2 linked regions of the Diceros bicornis minor genome follow. The protein of the gene in region 2 purifies or fractionates together with the protein of the main gene of each other region. This does not show direct contact. Links are inferred from orthologs where the notes say so. Each region holds a gene or a part of one and is shown on either strand. Other genes may lie near its edges.

Region 1 (10,904 bases), on a different chromosome or scaffold from region 2:
TAATAAAGAAATATTAGACTTAAATGAAAAACTGGACGAGATGGACCTAGTAGACATATACAGAGCACTCCATCCAAAAACAGCTGACTACACATTCTTCTCAAGCGCGCATGGAACATTCTCTAGGATAGACCATATGTTGGGAAACAAAGCAAGCCTCAATAAATTTAAGAAGATTGAAATCATAACAAGCATCTTTTCAGACCATAAGGCTGTGAAACTGGAAATGAACCAGGAAAAAAAAACTGGGAAAGTGACAAAAATGTGGAGATTAAACAACATGCTACTGAACAACCAATGGATCATTGATGAAATTAAAGGAAAAATCAAAAACTATCTGGAAACAAACGAAAATGATAACATGCCATATCAAACCATATGGGACGCAGCAAAAGCGGTCCTGAGAGGGAAACTCATAGCGATACAAGCCCACCTTAACAAACAAGAAAAAGCCCTAATAGGCAACCTTAAATTACACCTAACAGAACTAGAAAAAGAAGAACAAACAAAGCCCAAAGCCAGCAGAAGGAGAGAAATAATAAAAATCAGAGCAGAAATAAATGATATTGAGACCAAAAAAACAGTAGAAAGGATTAATGAAACAAAGAGTTGGTTCTTCGAGAAGATAAACAAAATAGACAAACCCTTAGCCAGGCTAACTAAGAAAAAAAGAGAAAAGGCTCAAGTAAATAAAATTAGAAATGAAAGAGGAGAAATTACAACGGACACCATGGAAATACAGAGGATTATAAGAGAATACTATGAGAAATTATATGCCAACAAATTGGACAATCTAGAAGAAATGGATAAATTCTTAGACTTATACAACCTCCCAAAATTGAACCAAGAAGAAATGGAGAATCTGAATTGACCAATAACAAGTAAAGAGATTGAAATAGTAATCAAAAACCTCCCAAAAAATAAAAGTCCAGGACCAGATGGCTTCTCCAGTGAATTTTACCAAACATTCAAAGAAGATTTAATACCCATCCTCCTCAAACTATTCCAAAAAATAGAGGAAGATGGAACACTTCCTGAATCATTCTATGAGGCCAACATCACCCTGATACCAAAACCAGACAAAGACAATACAAAGAAAGAAAATTACAGGCCAATATCGCTGATGAACATTGATGCAAAAATCCTCAACAAAATATTGGCAAACCGAATACAACAATATATTAAAAAGATCATACACCATGATCAAGTGGGATTTATACCAGAGACGCAGGGATGGTTCAACATCCGCAAATCAATCAACGTGATACATCACATCAACAAAACAAAGAATAAAAACCACATGATCGTCTCAATAGACGCAGAGAAGGCATTTGACAAGATACAACATCCATTTATGATAAAAACTCTCAATAAAATGGGAATAGAAGGAAAGTACCCAACATAATAAAGGCCATATATGACAAACCCACAGCTAACATCATACTCAACAGGGAAAGACTGAAAGCCATTCCTCTGAGAACAGGAACGAGGCAGGGCTGCCCACTCTCACCACTCCTGTTCAACATAGTACTGGAGGTTTTGGCCAGAGCAATTAGGCAAGAAAAAGGAATAAAAGGAATCCAAATAGGTAACGAAGAAGTGAAACTCTCACTATTTGCAGATGACATGATTGTATATATAGAAAACTCTAAAGAATCTGTTGGAAAACTGTTAGAAACAATCAACAACTACAGCAAAGTTGCAGGGTACAAAATCAATCTACAAAAATCAGTTGCATTTCTATATGCTAATAATGAACTAACAGAAAGAGAGCTCAAAAAGATAATACCATTTACAATTGCATCAAAAAGAATAAAATACCTAGGAATAAATCTTACCAAGGAGGTGAAGGACCTATACAATGAGAACTACAAGACATTATTGAGGGAAATCTACGATGACATAAAGAAATGGAAAGATATCCCATGCACGTGGATTGGAAGAATAAACATAGTTAAAATGTCTATAGTACCTAAAGCAATCTACAGATTCAATGCAATCCCAATCAGAATCCCAATGACATTCTTCACAGAAATAGAAAAAAGAATACTAAAATTTATATGGGGCAACAAAAGACCCCGAATAGCTAAAGAAATCCTAAAGAAAAAGAACAAAGCAGGAGGCATCACAATTCCTGACTTCAAAACATACTACAAAGCAATAGTAATCAAAACAGCATGGTACTGGTACAAAAACAGACACACAGATCAATGGAACAGAATTGAAAGCCCAGAAATAAAACTACACATATACGGACAGCTAATTTTCGACAAAGGTGCTAAGGACATGCAATGGAGAAAGGAAAGTCTCTTCAATAAATGGTGTTGGGAAAACTGGACAGCCACATGCAAAAGAATGAAAGTGGACCATGTGCTATCGCCATTCACAAAAATTAACTCAAAATGGATCAAAGACCTGAAGGTGAGACCTGAAACTATAAAACTCTTAGAAGAAAATATAGGCAACACACTATTTGACATTGGGTTTAAAGGAATCTTTTCGGATGACATGCCTACCCAGACTAGGGAAACTAAAGAAAAAATAAACAAGTGGGACTTTATCAGACTAAAGAGCTTTTATAAGACAAATGAAACCAGAATCAAGATGAACAAACAACCAACCAGCTGGGAGAGAATATTTGCAAAACATACATCTGACAAGGGGTTGATCTCCATAATATATAAAGAACTCACACAATTGAACAACAAAAAAACAAACAACCCGATCAAAAACCGGGCAGAGGAAATGAACAGACACTTCTCCAAGGAAGATATACAGATGGCCAATAGGCACATGAAAAGATGCTCAACATCACTAATCATCAGGGAAATGCAAATCAAAACAACACTAAGATACCACCTCACGCCCGTTAGAATGGCTATAATCACCAAGACAAAAAACAACAAATGTTGGAGAGGATGTGGAGAAACAGGAACCCTCATACACAGCTGGTGGGAATGCAAATTGGTGCAGCCTCTATGGAAAACGGTATGGAGATTCCTCAAAGAATTAAAAATAGAGATGCCCTATGATCCAGCCATCCCACTACTGGGAATCTATCCAATGCACCTGAAATCAACAATCCAAAGAGGCTTATGCACCCCTATGTTCATTGCAGCATTATTCACCATAGCCAACAAGTGGAAGCAACCTAAGTGTCCCTCGACTGACGATTGGATTAAGAAAATGTGGTATATATATACAATGGAATACTACTCAGCCATAAAAAAAGACAAAATCGTCCCATTTGCAACAACATGGATGGGCCTGGAGCGTATTATGTTAAGTGAAATAAGCCAGAAAGAGAAAGACAAACACTGTATGATCTCACTCATATGTGGAATATAAACCAACACATGGACAGAGAAAACTGGACTGTGGTTACCCGGGAAGTGGGGGTGGGGGGTGGGCACAAGGGGTGAAGGGAGTCATATATGGGGTGATGGACAAACAAAAATGTACAACCCAAAATTTCACAATGTTAGAAACCATTAAAATATCAATTAAAAAAAAAAACAAAAACAAAACTTAAACTAATTGGATGGGCTAAAAGCATATTAGACAAGATTGAAGAGAATTAATGAACTGGAAGACAGTTATGAAGAAATTATCCAGAAAGAAGCACACAGAAACAGGAAAATAGAATGCACTTAAGAGACATGTAAGACAGAATGAAAAAAAAAATCTGTCTTATAGGAATTCCAAAAAGGATAAGTAAAATGTTGTTTGAAAATAACAGCTAGTGATTTTTTAGGATTCATGAAAGACATGAAACCTCAGTTCTGAGCAGGAAAATAAAAATAAATCCTAAATATATAATGGGGAGACAACCCCAAAGACAAAGAGAAAACCCAAAAGCAATCAGATAAAAGACAGACTGCCTATGAAAGAATAATAATCAGACTAAGAGTGCGTTTCTCATCAGCAACAATAGAAGCCAATAGAACAGAGGTTAGCAAACTTCTTCTGTAAAGGACCAGATAATAAATATTATAGGCCTCATGAGCCATATGCCGTTTGAGCATTTACTCAACTCTGCTATTACAGTACACTAACAGCAAGAGACAATATGAACACAAATGAGCATGACTGTATTCCAGTAAAATTTTACTTTTGGACATTGAAATTTAACTTTTATATAATTTTAGTGTGTCCTAAAATATTCTTTTGATTTTTTCAATTATTTAAAAATGAAAAAAAAATTCTTAGCTCATGAGTCACACAAAATAGATAATGGACCGGATTTGGCCTATGGACTACAGCTTCCTGACCACCAGAATAGTATTTTAAAAATACAGAGGGAAAAACAACCATTAACCTAGAATTTTACACCTAGCTAAACAATCATTTAAAAATAAAGGTGATATAGGGGCCGGCCCGGTGGCACAGCGGTTAAGCGTGTGTGCTTCGCTTCAGTGGCCTGAGGGTTCGCAGGTTCAGATCCCGGGTGTGCACCAATGCACCTCTTGTCAAGCCATGCTGTGGCAGTGTCCCATATAAAAAGTAGAGGAAGATGGGCACAGATGTTAGCCCAGGGCCAGTCTTCCTCAGCAAAAAGAGGAGGATTGGCATGGATGTTAGCTGAGGGCTGATCTTCCTCACAAATAAATAAATAAATAAATAAATAAATAAATAAATAAAGGTGATATAAAGACAATTTCATACAAATGCTAAGAGAAATTACCATTCAAAGAACCCAGTTGAAAGAATTAGTAAAAGGCGTATATCAGGAAGAATAAAATTAAAATCAGAAAGGAGTAGAATACAACATGAAATGCTGGGAGGAGAAAATGAAAAACGCAGGTATATCTAAATAAGTATTGATAGCAAAATGAAAAGTAATAATCATGATAAATTTTGCTTAAAAAAAAAAGCTGAGTTGAATTACCAGACAATAAAAACTTGTGAGATGGAAGGATGGCGATCTGAAGTAAAGCCTTCTAAGGTGCTGTATCTTTGAGAGGAGGCTAGAGATGATTAACTTTAAACTTTGTTAAATGGATCATGCATAGTTACAAATTTAAGGGAAACATCTTTTTATTTTAATAGTTATTTGTTTATTTTGTTAGGTCACTTCTCTTTATCATAGTGATATAAAATCTCATTCAATTTATTTAAAATTTGAAAAGTGAGATAAAAATATTTAAACAATAATATAGGTGGTACACAGCTATGGCAAATATTTTTACATTGGTTACAAATGACTGCAGTTTGGGAAATCAGTGTAAAATTTTTTCGAAAGCAGTATCTGCAAAGGTAGACATCATATTTCTACATACCTAAACATATAAATATATTTCTTCCAAACACCAAAAGAGACTTGCAGCTGTCAGAATTCTCTTAATCAATGAGCTATCAAGACATGTAAGACATGGAGGAAGCTTAAATGCATACTACTAAGTGAAAGGAGCCAATCTGAAAAGTCAACATACTACATGATTCCAATGATATGATTCTGGAAAGGCAAAAAACTACGGAGATCATAAAAAAAAATCAGTCATTGCAGGGGGCAAAGGGGTGGGGGGAAGGATGAACAGGCAGACTACGGAGGATTTTTAGGGCAGTGAAACTATTCTTTACCATACTCTAATGGTGAATCAATGTTATTATATTATTTGTCAAATCCCATAGAATGCATAGCACGGAGAGTGAACCCTAACATAAACTACAAACTTTGGGTGATAACAACGTGTCAATGTAGGTTTATCGACTATAACAAATGTACCACTGTGGTGGGGGATGTTGATAGTGGGGAGGCTGTGGGAGTTGGGAGGGTGTGGGGGGGTGCTGGGGAAATACAAAATTCTGTGAACCTTTCACTCAATTTTGCTGTGAACCTAAAACTGCTCTAAAAAATAAAGACTTTTTTTTTTTTCTCTTAACCATTTGCTTGCAGATAATTAATTTTTCTGTTTCTGTAGGCAGGACAAGAATTACACCAGCTAAAATTTACTGAGCACTTTACATAGGTTTTCTCTTTAATCCTGGTGAAATGGATATTATTACCCTCGTCTTACAGTTAAGGACATTGAGGCCAAGAGAATTTACATAATTAAGGCACTCAGAATTTAAACATCTGTTTATCCGACCACAAGTCTGGCTGGTTTGCTAGTACTCTGCTGACTTATTTTTTTTCCCTATTATCTGGTTTTAAAACACCGTCCGTTATTTTTAATCACAAACCTTAGAGTTAATTATTAGAGCACAAGTGTGCAGAAGGGGAGTGGACCTCAGAGACTACAAAGCCTAGAATGCAACGCAGCGCCGGCCGCCTAGGAGCGCAGCACCTTGCCCCCTCAGCATGCTGGGAATGCTAGTTTTCTGGCCTGCCGATCTTCGCCAGCCCTCGAGCATCCGGCCCGGAGCTTGGTTCCCACTCCCTTTGCCGGGCGCCACAGCTCGACAGATACACCCGTCCTCGCACGGTCATCCCAGTCCTGGAGACTGACCTGGGGACGCGCCCCTGACGCCCTAGACCCTGTAAGAGTGTCCCTGCAGGGCAGGCCAGCGCTACCTACCTCAACCGCAATTCCCGGACGCGGCGCTCCACCCCCGGCTCCAAGGAGGACGCGCAGCTCGGTTACCACGGAAACGACGCTGCCTCCGTCACGGTGCGTGCTGGAGGTCAAAGGTCACCCCCAGTCAGTTCCGCTTCCGGTTCCAGGCTCCAGTTTGTTGTCAGAAAGCTTTGGAGAGTCGTTGAGTTTTGGGGGCTGGTTTCTGGGGTCCAGGGGTCGCCCGAGGTCTGCTGCTGCAGCCATGGCGGCCTCCACCGCGGCTGGGAAGCAGAGGATTCCCAAAGTGGCCAAGGTAGGCGATAGCGAGGGGCCTTGTGAGAGGAGGCCTGGGAGAGGGGCTTGCCTGAACCCCCGTGGTGCCCGGGGCGGGAGAGTGTTGTCCCGGGCGCAGGCCCACCCGGTGCGGGGCCGAGGGAGAGAAGGAGAGGAAGGGTCAGCCGGCGGTGGGCCGCAGGCTCTTGTCACCACGGAGCAACCCGCATGGCCTTCGTTCTGGGGAGTTGTGTTTGCGGACGGAGGATTGGGGTCATTTAGCAAACATGAACCGAGAAACGCAGTGCGCTCGGCGCTGGGGAGCTACGCTTTAATGCGGGCCACGAGCAGTACTCAAATTTAAGACACGAGTAAGTGTAAAATTGCAGCCTTACCAAGTGCTACTGAGGCAAAGTAGAGTAGGCCGTGGAATAATGAAAGTTGTGTGAGGGGGTCTCCAGAGTACATTTTGCTGAGGAAGTGACATTTAAGCCGAGACTTGAAGGCTGAGTAGGAGTTAACCCAGCTGAGAGTGGACGGAATGAGAGTAGATGACAAGAGTTATGTAGAGGCATAATTTAAGTTCATTAAACAATAAATTTGATATTATCTGATATTTGCATCCGTAGCTGATACTTACCGAGTGGCTAATAGGTGACAGGCTTTGTCCTGAGCCTTTACAGATACTCTTCCTCCAGTCTGTTTCTCCAGCCCAGAGGGCTCTCTTGAGCTTGTCCTTTACATATCCATTTGGATGACTCCCAGAGATGATGCATCTAAAGCACATAGCATAGTGTCTGGCCGTTAATGCACATTAGATATGAGCTGTCATCATTATCATCATCATTATTCTACACATGGCATTAAATAATTAATGTTTTTTATAATTCAGTTACATAAACTTGTATTGGGCACCACTGGTCCAATGGAAATATGGTGTGAGTCACATATGTAATTTTGTTTTCTCATAGCTACATTAAAAAGTCAAAACGGGCCAGCCCTGTGGCAGAGTGGTTAAGTGAGTGTACTCCACTTTGGTAGCCCGGGGTTTGCAGGTTCAGATCCCGAGCGCGGACCTACACACTGCTCATCAGGCCATGCTGTGGCAGGCATCCCACATACAAAAAATAGAGGAAGGTTGACCCTGATGTTAGCTCAGGAACAGCCTTCCTCCCACACACACACACACACACACACACCACACACACACACACACACACACACACACACACAAAAGTCAAAACAGGTGACATTAATTTTAATTACATATCTTATTTAACCCAGTGTATCCAAGATATTGTCATTTCAACATGTTATCAATATTAAAAATTTTAATTAGGTAGTTTATTCTTTTTTTCATACTAAGTCTTCAAAATCCACTATGAATTTTACACTTACAGCCCATCTCAATTTGGACTCACCACATGTGGCTCATGGCTACTATACTGGACAGCACAGCTCTAAGACCTCAAGAAGCTTACAGTCTAATGATGGGAACTTACTGAATATTGTCTTTGACTTGGAATGCCATGAAAAACCAAGTACAATTAACCATGTGGGGCATAAGTTGAAGAATTCTGTAAATAGAGGTTGTAATGCTAGATAAAAAATGGTATACATCTTGATAAAACAAAACCTCTGGTGACAGTTGTACCTAGGCAGTCTCAAAGTTTATTATTATACTAATCTAAAAGGGAAAACTTGCTATTTTTGCTACCTTTTCTCTTAAGACTTTTACCCATGGCTTTGTAATAAATACCATGCATAAGATAGAAAACATAATTTTTTTTCTATTTAGTTTCGTAGAGAAATGGGAACATGTCATACAAAAAGGGCATCTTGTAATAATACTTATAAAATTCACATCCTAAGAAATGTTTGTTTCCTAAACCTTGTGTGAAGATCATCTGCTAAAAATAGAAATGTCTTCTGTCTTAAAAGGTGAAAAACAAAGCCCCGGCTGAGGTACAGATAACTGCAGAACAACTCTTAAGAGAAGCTAAAGAAAGAGAACTTGAGCTTCTCCCACCTCCACCTCAACAGAAGATCACAGATGAAGAAGAGTTAAATGATTATAAACTAAGGAAAAGGAAGGTCCGTCAATGTGATATCTTTTAGTCTATTAATATTGTTAAGAATTTATAGGTCAGAGTTTGAAAAGTTCCTCACTGGTTAGAGAGACTATAAAATAAGAAGGGGTTAGTGTTTCTAGCCACATGCATAATATAACTTCTGGTTACCAGATAACTGCCTTTTGTTGAACTTTATAAAGTATGCCATGAGTTGGCTGTTTCAAAGTATAAAGTAATTAAATCCGCCAGACACCTAATTTTTGATGCTGAATCAAAGATGGGTAGAAGTTTAACAGGTGGAACAACTGACAGCTGGAAAAGGGGTGGACTTAGCAAGACAGCGTTATGTACTTCTGTCTGTACCACTTTCTATGTTAAGAGTTAAGACCTGGGAGAGAGCCATGAGAAGACTCAGGGATCTGATCTGACCTCCTCTCCCTAGAGTGTAGGATTATTTTAAACCACTAATCCTATTGTATCAACTTATTAGTTATCCTCAGTAAGTTTATGTATGAAATTCTGAGACATTACTGGGAGGACGTAAATAGTCAAAAACGTTTTCTTATTAGGAACAAGTAGAGTATGTTAAAGTATCAGTTAGTTGTTAAGAGTAATAAGAGAAAATATCAACAATTCTGCTAATAATTCTTAATATCTAAAGTTTTTGTTTGCATGTAAGAGTTGAAAGAAATACCTGTGATTGTAACCTTCTTTCGTGGGTTTCTTATTTCTCAAGGATTCTTGGATGTAATTTCTCTTAAATAAGAACATAATGGGCCGGCCCCGTGGCTTGGCGGTTAAGTGCGCGCGCTCCGCTGCTGGTGGCCTGGGTTCGGATCCAGGGCACGCACCGAGGCACCACTTCTCCTGCCATCCTGAGGCCGAGTTCCACATATAGCAACTAGAAGGATGTGCAGCTATGACATACAACTATCTACTGGGGATTTGGGGGGAAAAAAATTAATTAATTAATTAAAAAAAAAAAGAACATAATGAATAACCTTTTTAGTACAAGAATCAATACACAAAATGTAATGTCATTTTTCGTTATTTTCCTTTAATTTGACCCTTTTTGCCTTCCGCCAGACTTTTGAAGATAACATAAGAAAAAACAGGACTGTAATTAGTAACTGGATAAAATACGCACAATGGGAAGAGAGTCTAAAGGAGATTCAAAGGTAAAATTGCTGAGCATCATTTATGTCAGTTTGTACATAAAGACATCATAAGGTAATAGATATAAAAAAATAGAAAAAGTTAACGCACAAGTAAAAGATTGTGCCTCTGGTAGTAATTTTCCAAAGTTTGTTCCACGGAACCCTAGGTTTCCTTTGAAGGGCCTCAGGGGCACTATGGTAGGCTAGTCCTGGAGGGAATAGCGGAGGAGGCTCTATAGTTAGGTCTCGCCACTAACACACACTCTACAGCCAGAGAAGTGCAGTTTCATCTGCTTTCTCTGTATTGGAATTTTTTTTAATAAAAATTGTTCCACTGAAGACCAGTGGTCAACAAGATTAAAAATCGCAACTGGCCTTTCCTGTTGTCCAGCCTTTCTGCATTCTCCCAGCATACCCCTTGCCACCACTGCGCCTGCATACTTGCCACTCCTGACTCCTGACTGTGACACTTGGTTGTTCTCTCTGCCTGGAGTGAGCACCCCTCCACATCCGCCTTGGCCTCTGGTACTTTCGTCAAGTCCTCAATTCTGGAGTTAGCCAGTGCTTAGCCTTTTCCATCAGATGTTTTTATTTCTTCCCCTCTGCTTCCTTGTGCAGATCTTAGCTATAACAGTTATCACATTGCATTGTAATTACGTGCGTGTCTTTTTCTAAGTCTTTGTAAGGTTCCTGGGCATATCATATCTTTTCTTATGCCCAGAACATGGCTCACGGTAGACACCTGATAAAATGGCAGGGCACTGCAGATGGTTTGAGATAATTACTACATGTGTTGTATGTACTGCTTTTGATGCCCTCCAAATCTTGCTTCTTAAGGGCTCGATCCATATACGAACGTGCCTTAGATGTGGACTATCGAAATATTACACTCTGGCTGAAATATG
Region 2 (10,991 bases):
ACTCCCCAGAAGGGAGTGGTAGTCAGGACATTGGACAATGAGGAAGGGAGCAAGGGAGTATGTTCTGAGGTTTCAGGTATCTGAATATAAATTGAGATGACAAAAAGGCAGTATTCTGGGGGTGGAGTTATGGAATAGGTAGTAATAAAAGATGAGTCATTCTACTGGAAATATTCCTCAGACATTAAGAGAGGTCTCCAAGATTGTGTTTAAAAAGTCCCTGAGTAAATTTTATACTGTAGTTCCCCCTTATCTGCGGTTTTGCTTTCCATGGTTTCAGTTACCTATGGTCAATTGTGGTCCAAAAATATTAAATGGAAAATTCCAGGGCCCGCCCCACGGCTTAGTGGTTAAGTGCGCGCACTCTGCTGCTGGCGGCCTGGGATGGATCCCCGGCGCACACCAACGCACTGCTTCTCTGGCCATGCTGAGGCCGAGTCCCACATACAGCAACTAGAAGGAAGTGCAGCTATGACATACAACTATCTACTGGGGCTTTGGGGGAAAATAAATAAATAAAATTATTAAAAAAAAAGAAAATTCCAGAAATAAACGATTCATAAGTTTTAAGTTGCACACCATTCTGAGTAGTGTGATGAAATCTCTCCCAGTCCCGCTGTATCCTGCCCGGGACGTCAATCATCCCTTTGTCCGGTGTATCCATGCTGTATACACTACTTGCTCATTAGCCCGTTAGGAAAAAACATAGTATACGTAGGGTTCGGGGCTATCCCAGGCATCCACTGGGGGTCTTGGAACATATCCCCCTTCCATAAGAGGGAACTACTGTAAGGGTCAGTTACGTGAAAGATAATTATTATGTGAAATATAATTTCATATTTGAAATGATCTGGGCCAGTTCACATAGTATTTTTATAACATTTAGATGTGTGCTCAAAAGGTCAATTCCTACCATTATATAAAATAAGCACTAATTATGAAATGTAAAACCTGTCAACTGATAAGCATTTTGTAAGCTGTACAAAGATTAGCCTAATGAAATATCACCAGAGGATAAAATCTTGCACCTCAAGAGCCAGAAGGAGAACAGATGGCAAGTGTGTTAAACAAGGCTTAACCTATAAGAAACCAGATTTAGGTCATTGCTGGGATGAAAATTAGAAAAGGATCAAAGAAGACAAAAGAAAAGATGGAGAAAAACATTTAGTAGGAAGGAGAAAAAAGAAATGGAGGAAACAAGAAAGAAACAGGAAGTCTTTCTAATTAAGTCATTTATTTTCACAGTATCTCCTTGAAGGGGATAGAGGCCTATATTACACAGGTCCATAGCATTCTATACTTATCTTTAGTAGCACTTAATAAAATTTATTTTAAGCAATTAATTAATTATTCATTTAGTATTTGACTCTGTTCTGAAGGTCAGGGGCCATGTCTATTTTGTTTACTTCTATGTTCCTGTGACCTGGCACAGAACTTGGCATAATGCTTATTACATAGCACGTACTTCATAAATATTTGTTAAATAAATGAGTAGGATTTTTCCACCTTTGCAAAACTTATATTATTAATAACTTGTAATGGTTATATGCACACATTCTAAAATCAGACTTCCTAGCATTTTTAGCTCCATTAACAACTAGCTGTGCTACCTTAGGCAAATTACTTAACTTCTCTGTGTTTTAGTTTCCTCATATTTAAAATGCGAATAATAAAATTACCAAATGAACTAATTCATGTAAAATACTTAGAAAAGTGCTTGATGCATGATATCCGCTCAATAAAAGTTATCTATTATTTTTATTATTATTAATATGAGGGTGACCAGTAATACTTAAAGTCAAATACTACTCAACCCCAAAACCACTAAATGGATGTCATGATTCAGAATTTCTTTAATCTTTCTAATTTTTTCAAGCTTTGTGGATAAAGATTTTTTGCTTGTTCTTTTATTTTTTAATTTTTAAGCTCAGTGTTTTGGTTATTAAAACAAAAATTTAAAAGTCCCTGACTACAGATTATAATACTTAGGTAAAAATAAATCCATATATACATTTTTTAAAAATCTGTAAACATCTATACCAAATAGTTAAAAATGGATGTTTTTGGAGAATGGATCACATAGGGATTTTCACTTTTTCTGTATTTCAAATTTTTACAATAATCACATATTTATCAGAAAAAAATCAAATAGGATATTTCCATTTGGAAAGCTTTAAAATAATAAGAAAGAAAAAACACACTGGAAGCCTTGAGAAGGTGTGTATGCAACCGAAGTGATGACTAATTTTATTAACAATGTGTAAAATCTTTTTTATAGAATCTGTACTCTAGAAGCCAGATCATCAGTAATCTATTCACTGGACTCTGTATTCCAAATTTCCCTAGTATGATTTTACCCACTGCCAAAGGCTTTTGGAATGAAAACAGAAATAGGTATAATGAAATACTATGTCAGATAACTAGTCAAACAATCAACCTATTCAATATTGTGATTCATACACATACACCAAGCACAAATTGGGGTCCATAAACAAAAGGATTACAGAACAAAACAGTGCTATCCTGTTATGGGATAAATAATGACTACGAAATGAGTTTGAGAAGGGGTGCAAAGTTTGAGAACTGGAACTAAGTTATATCCAGTTTTGTGACGTTTAGATCAATGCCTTGAGTATATAAAATACTTAAAGTCAAAAAAAACCCACTAAAGTATTGGTTGATTAAATAAGCAGTTGAATGAATCATCATGTATTCTTTAAAAGCATTAATTGGGACTTGAGTTGGGTTTTAAAGAATGGTTGGATTATGGGGAAAGAGAACAGCAATGTGGCCCATTGGAGTGGGGACAGCAGGGGCTGCCCAGGCATAGGGCCCTGTGGAGTGGAGAACACTGACAGGTAATGAGACAGTCAGGGAAGGGCTGTGAATGAAACAATTAAAAACGTAGGACTGGAATAGAGAGCTATTACAGGAGTGTAGTGTGGGAGTCACACAGTGAAAGTGAATGCTTTCAGATGATTACCATGACAGCAGTTTGCAGGATCAGCTTGAGGGACAGACTCAAGGTGGGAGAAACAGGATGCAGTAAAAGAGTAAGGGTCTTGAAAGTATTGTGTAATATCTTTATAATATTATTAATATAATAATATTAATATTAGGCATTTCATAGCTATTGCTGCTTTTCCTTTCTTCTTCTTGACAGGTGGCTTGGAATTGGGAGGAGAGAAGTTACAGCGGGTACATTATTCTGGTAAAACGCCCAAGCCACATAAAGCCTTCCTCAAATAGAATTACTTCTTGAATTAAAAATAAAAGTTCAGTTTTGTTTTGTTTTCTCTTTAGCCCAAGGTAAGGAGTTAACTTCTTCTCTGTTTCCTTACCTCTTCCTTCTCTCTCCCTCCACTCCTGGAGTCTGGCTAATGGCTGTCTTTCTACTCTACACAGCCACCCAATAGAAGAAGCATTCACCTTTAGAACTGTAAAGGTGTTTAGAGTAAGCAGAAGAGATCAACGGAACTTCCTTCCCTCCATCTCCCCCACCTAGGTTTACAGAGCCTTAAAACCACTGTCATGAATGTCTGCTATCAACATGGTGCTTAGCGTTCTGCCTTGTATTATGCTATTTTTGCACTAGTTTTCTCATCCTTAGTAAACTCTAAGTTACTTGACAGAGGTACTGATTGTTAATTCTTCATGTATCCTCCATTTTCACCCTACCTAGCATAGGAGTGAACTCCTGGAAAACATAAATGCTGTCTCTTAAGTACTTCTCTTGCACCAAATACAGTGCTGGTTAATAAGTAGGTCATGACAATGATCATGCAGTAAAACTGATTTCTGGTAAAATGAAATAAGTGGTTTTCATTGACATTTTATAGACATTTTTATTCTATGAGAACAATGAGTAATAAAACATGTTAGTGTTTATTTGTGTTTACTTAAGTCAAGAATTACATGAATTACACGTAGACCAAGCCTCACAGTCTCCGGGTCCCTCTGAGTTAAGTGCTATACAAAATATATAATAAAGAAAGGACAGTGTACTTGTTTGTCCTGGGAAAATAGCAATTTCCCCTGACAAATAAAAGTTAATAATTAATTAATTTAATACAAATTTAAAACAATCTCTGTTTAAGGCCCTGTGATATGTAGTAAGCAAGGGGAATACAGAGAGGAATAAAAATTAAACTCTGCCATCAAAAAACTTACCATCCAGGAGCGGAGAAGAGATGAGTGTAAAATTAACCACAGTGCTCTGAAGTAGTTTTAAATAAATTGCAATGTGGGCAATTGAGCTGAGGCTTCAAGCACTTGTAGAATGTTCTCTCTCTGATTTCTTGTTCAAAGTCGACGATTTGGAAAATATAGAAAAGCACAAGGAAGTGAAAAAAAAAAGCACATGTAATTGTCCCACCAGGAGAGAACCACTACTAACATTTTAGTATATTTTTTCTTACACACTTTCTGTTTTTGCTTTTTAAATTAGCTTGAAGCAATACATGCATATGGGAAAAAATTCAAACAGTATAGAAAGGCATACCATCGAAAAAGGTAGAAGGTTCGCTCCCCAAAGGTATTTTGAAATAAATTTCTAGGCCCAAGATGGAGACTCTCATGCTGGGTGACACGTCAGCAAACCGAACTTTCATGTTCCTGTAAACGCTCCAGTTGACCAGAAACGCAGTATATCCAATCCTCAAATACCAAGCCAGCTCTGGGCTATGTACTGTATTTATTTCCGTGTTCCTTGATCTTTCTAAATAAGGTCAGATACGCAAGCCCAGCCGATCATGCTGTTTCCGCCTGTTTCCGCGTGAGGCTTCTGATGCTACATGAACCTGGCTCCTGCCCTCGGCAAGAGTGCTCCACTGCTTGTGAGGCACTGCCTTCTCCCAATCCATGGATTGTTTTCCCTTGAATAAAGGACATCAAATTCGTTACTAAATTGTTTTAGTTTTGTCCTTTGACAGGTAACAGCCAGCTCCCTCGTGAATCGCTCTGGAATTCAGAATTAATTCAAAACTAATGCATAAAATTGCATTCACATACACTTATATCCCTTACTTATTACATACAGATGGAATCACATCATCTAGACAGTGTTTTGCACTTTGCTTTCCCTAATGGCACAGAGAAATCTGCCTCATTCTTAGTAGAGCTGGTCCTATTCCATTGCGTTCATGGCTGCTAATACAACGAGAGAGCCTGGCAGGCGACGACCCAGACGAGTAGATGGGAAACACGCCATTTCAGGATGAAAAGAATTAAGGGACCAGATTGTTTGGGGAGAGAGACAGAGGGGGAAGCCTATTTAGTGGGCATGTAGGGTTTTAGTAAGTGAGATGACTTGGGCCAGAGGATGGGCGCTGTAGCATTCCAAGATTGGAATTTAGACTTTCTTTACTTTTTGTAGTGGAGAAGAATTAGGAAGTCAGTTGGTTTAGGTGAGATATGGATTTTCTGAAGAAGGGCCCGACAGGCTATGAAGTGGAGTTGTCCAGGAGGGAGCTGACATTTGAGTCTAGAACCGAGAAGGGATCTAGGGTTGGAAAAACGGCAGGGCAGGTTAGTTTTCTACACACAAGACTAGGCCTAGTCTTCACTGCTCCCTCCCCACTCCAAGAAAAGTCCTTTCTTTATCCACAGCGCACGACGGAGGATTCACTCTGCGCGTCTCATTTTTCCTAGGCCCGGGGCTGGGGCAGAGCCTCAAGGCCTGCTACCTAACAAAACCCCTGACTCCTTCCCCGCCCCCGCGCCGCGGGAATTCCGAGATCTGGGCGAGCCTTCTAGCAGGCACTCTAAAGAGCAGAGATAGGACACCGTGGCCGCCAATCAGACCTTCCAGATACCCGGATGTGAAGTGGTGCGCGATACAAAGGCGAGCTTCTACCCAGCGCTTCGTCAGGTACAGTGGCCAATAAGCATTTCTCAGGCGATAAATGACAGGAAAAACAACCAGTTACAAACTAGCTTCTCTCACGCATGTGGAAATTCTCTTGCTTAGTCTAACCCACTACTGGTTGTGATTGGGCAGAATCGTGAAGAGCGGTAGAACTGTCTAATTAGAAGCGGGAGCGAGAAAAGTCGCAGCCAATAGGAAGATTCCTAGAAGTGGGGCGGGGGCTAGGCCTTCTCCTCGGCGGCAGAGGAGGCTCGGGGGCCATTTTGTGAAGAGACGAACCGGTTGCGGCCGCGTTGCCGACCTCGAGCAGCAGTCGGCTTCTTCACGTAGAACCCGGGGGTAGGAGATTCAGAATCGAATCTCTTCTCCCTTCCCCCTCCTGGTAAGTAGACGGGGCGGAAGCAAGGGAGGCGTTGGGTTCCTCGGGGAGCGCGAGAGTGTGCGGGAGAGGAGACGAGGGAACCTTCCCCTCGGTAGAGTAACCAGGCCCCGGTTTATTCTGTTGGCACTGGGGGATTGTGTCTTATGCTGGAGAGAGTTTTGTAGGTCTCAGCGCTTGCGTAGATTTAGCCTAGTGTCCTCTAGGCCACGATCCGCAGGGAAAACGTCCTTTTTCTTTTTCGCTCCCTGTGTTAACGGCTGCTTTCCTTTCCTTTTCTAAAACCATGAGGACTCCAAGAGAGATCGTGGAAGGAAAGATCGAGATGCGCATTGATATAGTTGAAGTTAATGTAGTACCGCTGTTTCCTGTTAAATTTAAAAATTGGGCGGGGGTTGGGGGAGGGTTGCAGAGTACATATTGTGCCGCAGGCCTGTAAATCCTGGAGCGTACCGCAGGGCGTAAGAATAACGAATATTATAACAATAGATTTAACATTTTGTTGCTTTTTATTTTATTCCTCCCTGAGCAAAAGATGGACCTCGAAATGGTTATTTTCAATTCTATTTTTAAAAAATATTGTAATCTCATTTACATATTAACAGTAATAATTAAAGCTGGCTTACTTTTTATCTGCAGGTTACAAATCACTTGAAATATATAAGTTAGTGGAACTTTGCTTGAGGTAGGTATTACTGTCTTTCTCAGACAAACTGAGGCGTAAGAGTGTTGGTTGCCAGGGTCGTATTAAATCAGTGAAACTGGTAAGGAATTTGATCACATACGATAGTCAAGTGGTTTTACCCACCTATTGGAATACTAGGTGCTAAAAGTAGTATATTATCTGGATGTTTACGAGGTCCTAGTTACAGCAACCACTAGCGGTAACTGGAAATTCCCAAACTGCACTTGGGAAAAATATTTACGAGAATTGCGTTTGTTGTTAATGTAACGTCCTGATAAACTTAAAATTTGACTTTCAGGGTATTCTCATATTAATTTTCCAGACCATCTAAACTTTAACAAAAATGCATGACTAAATAGTTTTAGGCACGTATTATAGTGCCTAGTATTTGCAAGGTCCTGAAACATGATTAAAAATTTTTGCTAAGCTTATAAAAATTACATAGGTTTCTAAATAGCACCCCTTTCACTTTTCTGAGAAATGGCTTTTTTTATCCTGGTGTAAGATTTCATTGATTTTATTTTTCTTAGTGTGTTAATTCTCACAAAAACTTATGTTATTAAGCACAGTTTAAACCAACACTGCAGGATAAATTCATCCCTTAGGAAACAAGTCTACTTGATAGAAAATAAAAGTAGTCTTATTATAGATAGCTATGCATTTGTTGATCCCTCACCGTGTAGATACTGTGATGGGGATTAAAGGCGTTGCCTTTATATTTTTTTAAGCCTAAACATATATATTATTATATGGGCTTAAAATTAAAGTTTATCCCTCTGCAGAACTGTTAGAAATGAGGTAAGAGCAGTGATTGGTTAATTCAGGAGATCATAGACTTAATAAAAATATTGCTGGCAAATAAAGAGAAATGTAAGGAATTAATGTTTAAGAACAATTATTGATAAGAGTTGAAATTATTTGAAGGGCACTTTTTTTTGCCTTAAGGTGTTAGAATTATGGGTTCCTTGAGATCGGCATGTACCAAGGTAACAGTTCCTTTGAGGTAATATTCATCTGGAATGATGTGGCCACAGGATTAATATCTGAAACAATTCTAGATGTGTTTTCAAATAGGTGGGCATTAGTAACATTTTCATGTTGGCTGGAGAGGAAGGATTTAAGTAGGATGACTTAAGTTGCACGTCTTCTGACCTTTTTGTGTGTTTCCCATACTCATGCCAGGGGAATGCTTGGTGTCCTGTTTGCTATTCCTTCTGTAGAGAATTAAACATACCATGTATTTGTCATTAGGTCTCTAGAGGGTTTCACATAGTATGCGACCTTTGTTTTGGATGGAATTGCTGTTAGAAACAAGCAAGGAATAAACTCCAAAACAGCTAGTTATTCTAATCTTTAAGATTAATTATATTAACTGGTGAATGTGTGGGATGTAAATTGGGGAGTGTGACAGTTGAAAGAATTTTGGCCTAGGAGTTAGAGAACTGGATTTTAGCCCCTGCTGGTTATTAGCTGTGTCAGGCAAATCAGTTAAACTTTCTGGGTTTCAGTTTTATACTTATGAGGGGGTTTAGACTTGTTACCTTTGTTAACTGCTGATTTCTATAACTCAAGTTATTTGTTGCTGGGTGGCTGAAAAGTATACAGAAATAATTTTATTATTAAAAGCAGTTTTTTTATAATAGTAATTTTTGTTAACTGCCTTAATATCAGTATTTTAGTCTTCAAGTAATTTTATTAGTAGTAGTTTTTGGGGAATAGTATTTGCTCATACTTTATATGTATACTCATTCATTCTCATTGGGATCAGGGAAGATTATGGTTTTGTACGTATTAGGTTTACTAGAGAGTTGACCATGGTGAGAACCAGAGCTATTAGATGTAGCATAACTACATGGATTTTCTTAGATATTGGAAATTTGGGATTTATAAAGGGAAGAAGGATTACTATAGGATTTTTTTATCCTCTTGGTGCGTTTATTATGATAGGTTATAATGTTCTTGGATTTATTTTATATCAATCTTAAACTCTTCACAGTGGTTCTTGAACATGAGCTGACATCAGAATCAGCAAGAGGGCTATTTAAAACAGATTGCTGGGCTCTCCACCAGTTTCTGATTGAGTCTGGGTTGTGCCCCAAGAATTTGCATTTCTAATTAAGTGCCAAGTGATGCTGGTTGGCAGACCTCGCTTTGAGAATACCCCTTTCGAGGAGGAATCGGAACCTCCCAGAGATTTGACAGTTTAATCTAAGTATGCTGTTGATTGCAAAGCTTTACAGTTAGGTGCTAAAGTTGTTTGGTCTTTGTTTATGAGTGATAGCTCATCAATTTAACGTAACGTCTTGGGAGACATCTTCACTTTGAAAGATGTAAATGCTTTTCTTTTTTTTTTTTTTAATTTTATTTATTTATTTTTTCTCCCAAAGCCCCAGTAGATAGTTGTATGTCATAGTTGCACATCCTTCTAGTTGCTGTATGTGGGACGCGGCCTCAGCATGGCTGGAAAAGTGGCACGTCATTGTGCGCCCGGGATCTGAACCCCGGCCGCCAGCAGCGGAGCGCGTGCACTTAAAACCGCTAAGCCACGGGGGCCGGCCCAGAAAGATGTAAATGCTTTTCATATTAACTGACTCTTTTTAAGAAACATCTTCACTTTGAAAGATATAAATGCTTTCTTTTCATGGTAATTGCCTTTTTTTAAGCTTACTGTCTTGTGACAAGTGCAGAGAATTTGTTTGTAGATGAGCCACGAAGTTATGTAATATATCCTGAAAATTTTGAGTACTGGTTTCAGGCTGTGACTCCAAATAAGAAAATTGAATGTTTCACCATAACGATACATCACAAACGCTGACTTGAAGAAGATAACATTCAAATGATTGTACGTTTTCTATGACCTTTTCTTCAGTTACACATTTGTACAATTTAACACATCAATCCAAGTGTAAAAGTAACTTATATGTCATGCCTAAATTGGTCTGCGTTTATTTTATTTTATTTTTTTTGCTGAGGAAGATTCGCCCTGAGCTAATATCCATTGCTAATCTTCCTCATTTTGCTTGAGGAAGATTTGCCTTGAGCTAACATCAGTGCCAGTCTTCTATTTTGTATGTGAGTTGCCGCCACAGCATGACTGACAAGTGGTGTAGGTCCACGCCTGGGGTCTGAACCTGCAAACCTGGCCTGCCCAAGTGGAGCATGCGGAACTTAACTTCTAAGGCATGGGGCTGACCCCTGTATTTAAATTTTTAAAAATTTAAAATTAAAATTTTAGAGTTATAATACCTATTCTGTTGTCATCATTCATACGTAATTGACTCAAGGAACACTTTTAAAAAGCTCAGCTTAAGATTTTTCATTTTACTGACATTTGTAAAGGAAAATAAAATATCATGGCTGAATATTGAAGTGTGAGTGCAACCACTTCATTCTTATTTACTCAGAGACCTATAATCTAATTGCAGATCTTGTTTTTGCTGATGAAACAGCCAGTCCAACATGTAGTTATTCAGTGTGGTGTTATGTATCAGATCTTATAATTCATATCTTGGAATTAGCTATATATACTACTTAATAAACAGTGGGGCCATGGGGACACGTTCCTTAAGAAACATACTTTTATTTCTCACCTGTTTTATGACATTAAATATTCAGTAGCTGCCATAATCTTTTTTTCTTTCATCTGTGGTTTTTCATTCTGTCAGTGAGTGGAATAATGTGCTCCTTATTTAAAGCATCTTTCTCCCTTACTGTTGAACCTATCGGGTCATGTGGTTTGATCACTCATTGATTTTCAGAATAGATGTTATCTCTACTATGTATCTTCATGGTAGGCCATTCTTCAATCTATATCATAGGAAAAACTACATGGACTTAAAATTTAGAACACATGAATCTCCTTACCTTCATATTCTTGATGTTTGACATTTGCTCACTTCTTCATCTCTGTCAGCCTGGTTTTTCTGTACTTTCTTTGCCCAGACTGCTGATTATCAAGATGAATGTTAGAATGTAGACCTTTTTTTGAGACTCTAAGGACATACAGGGGCGTATTTAGTTAATTTTAGTCACCTACTGATGTTAAAGCATTGTAAGGACAG

What was found. Proteins that work in one complex are often made in the same cells at the same time.
Region 1: the proteins of HNRNPC (region 2) and CRNKL1 purify together in Homo sapiens (co-immunoprecipitation; 3 studies listed by BioGRID and IntAct, with this or other methods). This does not show direct contact. The link is inferred for Diceros bicornis minor from reciprocal best matches to the Homo sapiens genes HNRNPC and CRNKL1.

What each region holds. Positions count from the first base shown.
Region 1 is NC_080758.1:46,550,353-46,561,256, reverse strand, and holds the start of CRNKL1 (crooked neck-like protein 1), read left to right. Parts: upstream 1-6,659; 5' UTR 6,660-6,759; coding exon 6,760-6,810; intron 6,811-8,711; coding exon 8,712-8,864; intron 8,865-9,928; coding exon 9,929-10,020; intron 10,021-10,836; coding exon 10,837-10,904. UniProt on the Homo sapiens protein: Involved in pre-mRNA splicing process. As a component of the minor spliceosome, involved in the splicing of U12-type introns in pre-mRNAs.
Region 2 is NC_080744.1:28,064,779-28,075,769, forward strand, and holds the start of HNRNPC (heterogeneous nuclear ribonucleoproteins C1/C2), read left to right. Parts: upstream 1-6,128; 5' UTR 6,129-6,248; intron 6,249-6,884; exon of another isoform or gene 6,885-6,930; intron 6,931-10,991. UniProt on the Homo sapiens protein: Binds pre-mRNA and nucleates the assembly of 40S hnRNP particles. Interacts with poly-U tracts in the 3'-UTR or 5'-UTR of mRNA and modulates the stability and the level of translation of bound mRNA molecules. Single HNRNPC tetramers bind 230-240 nucleotides.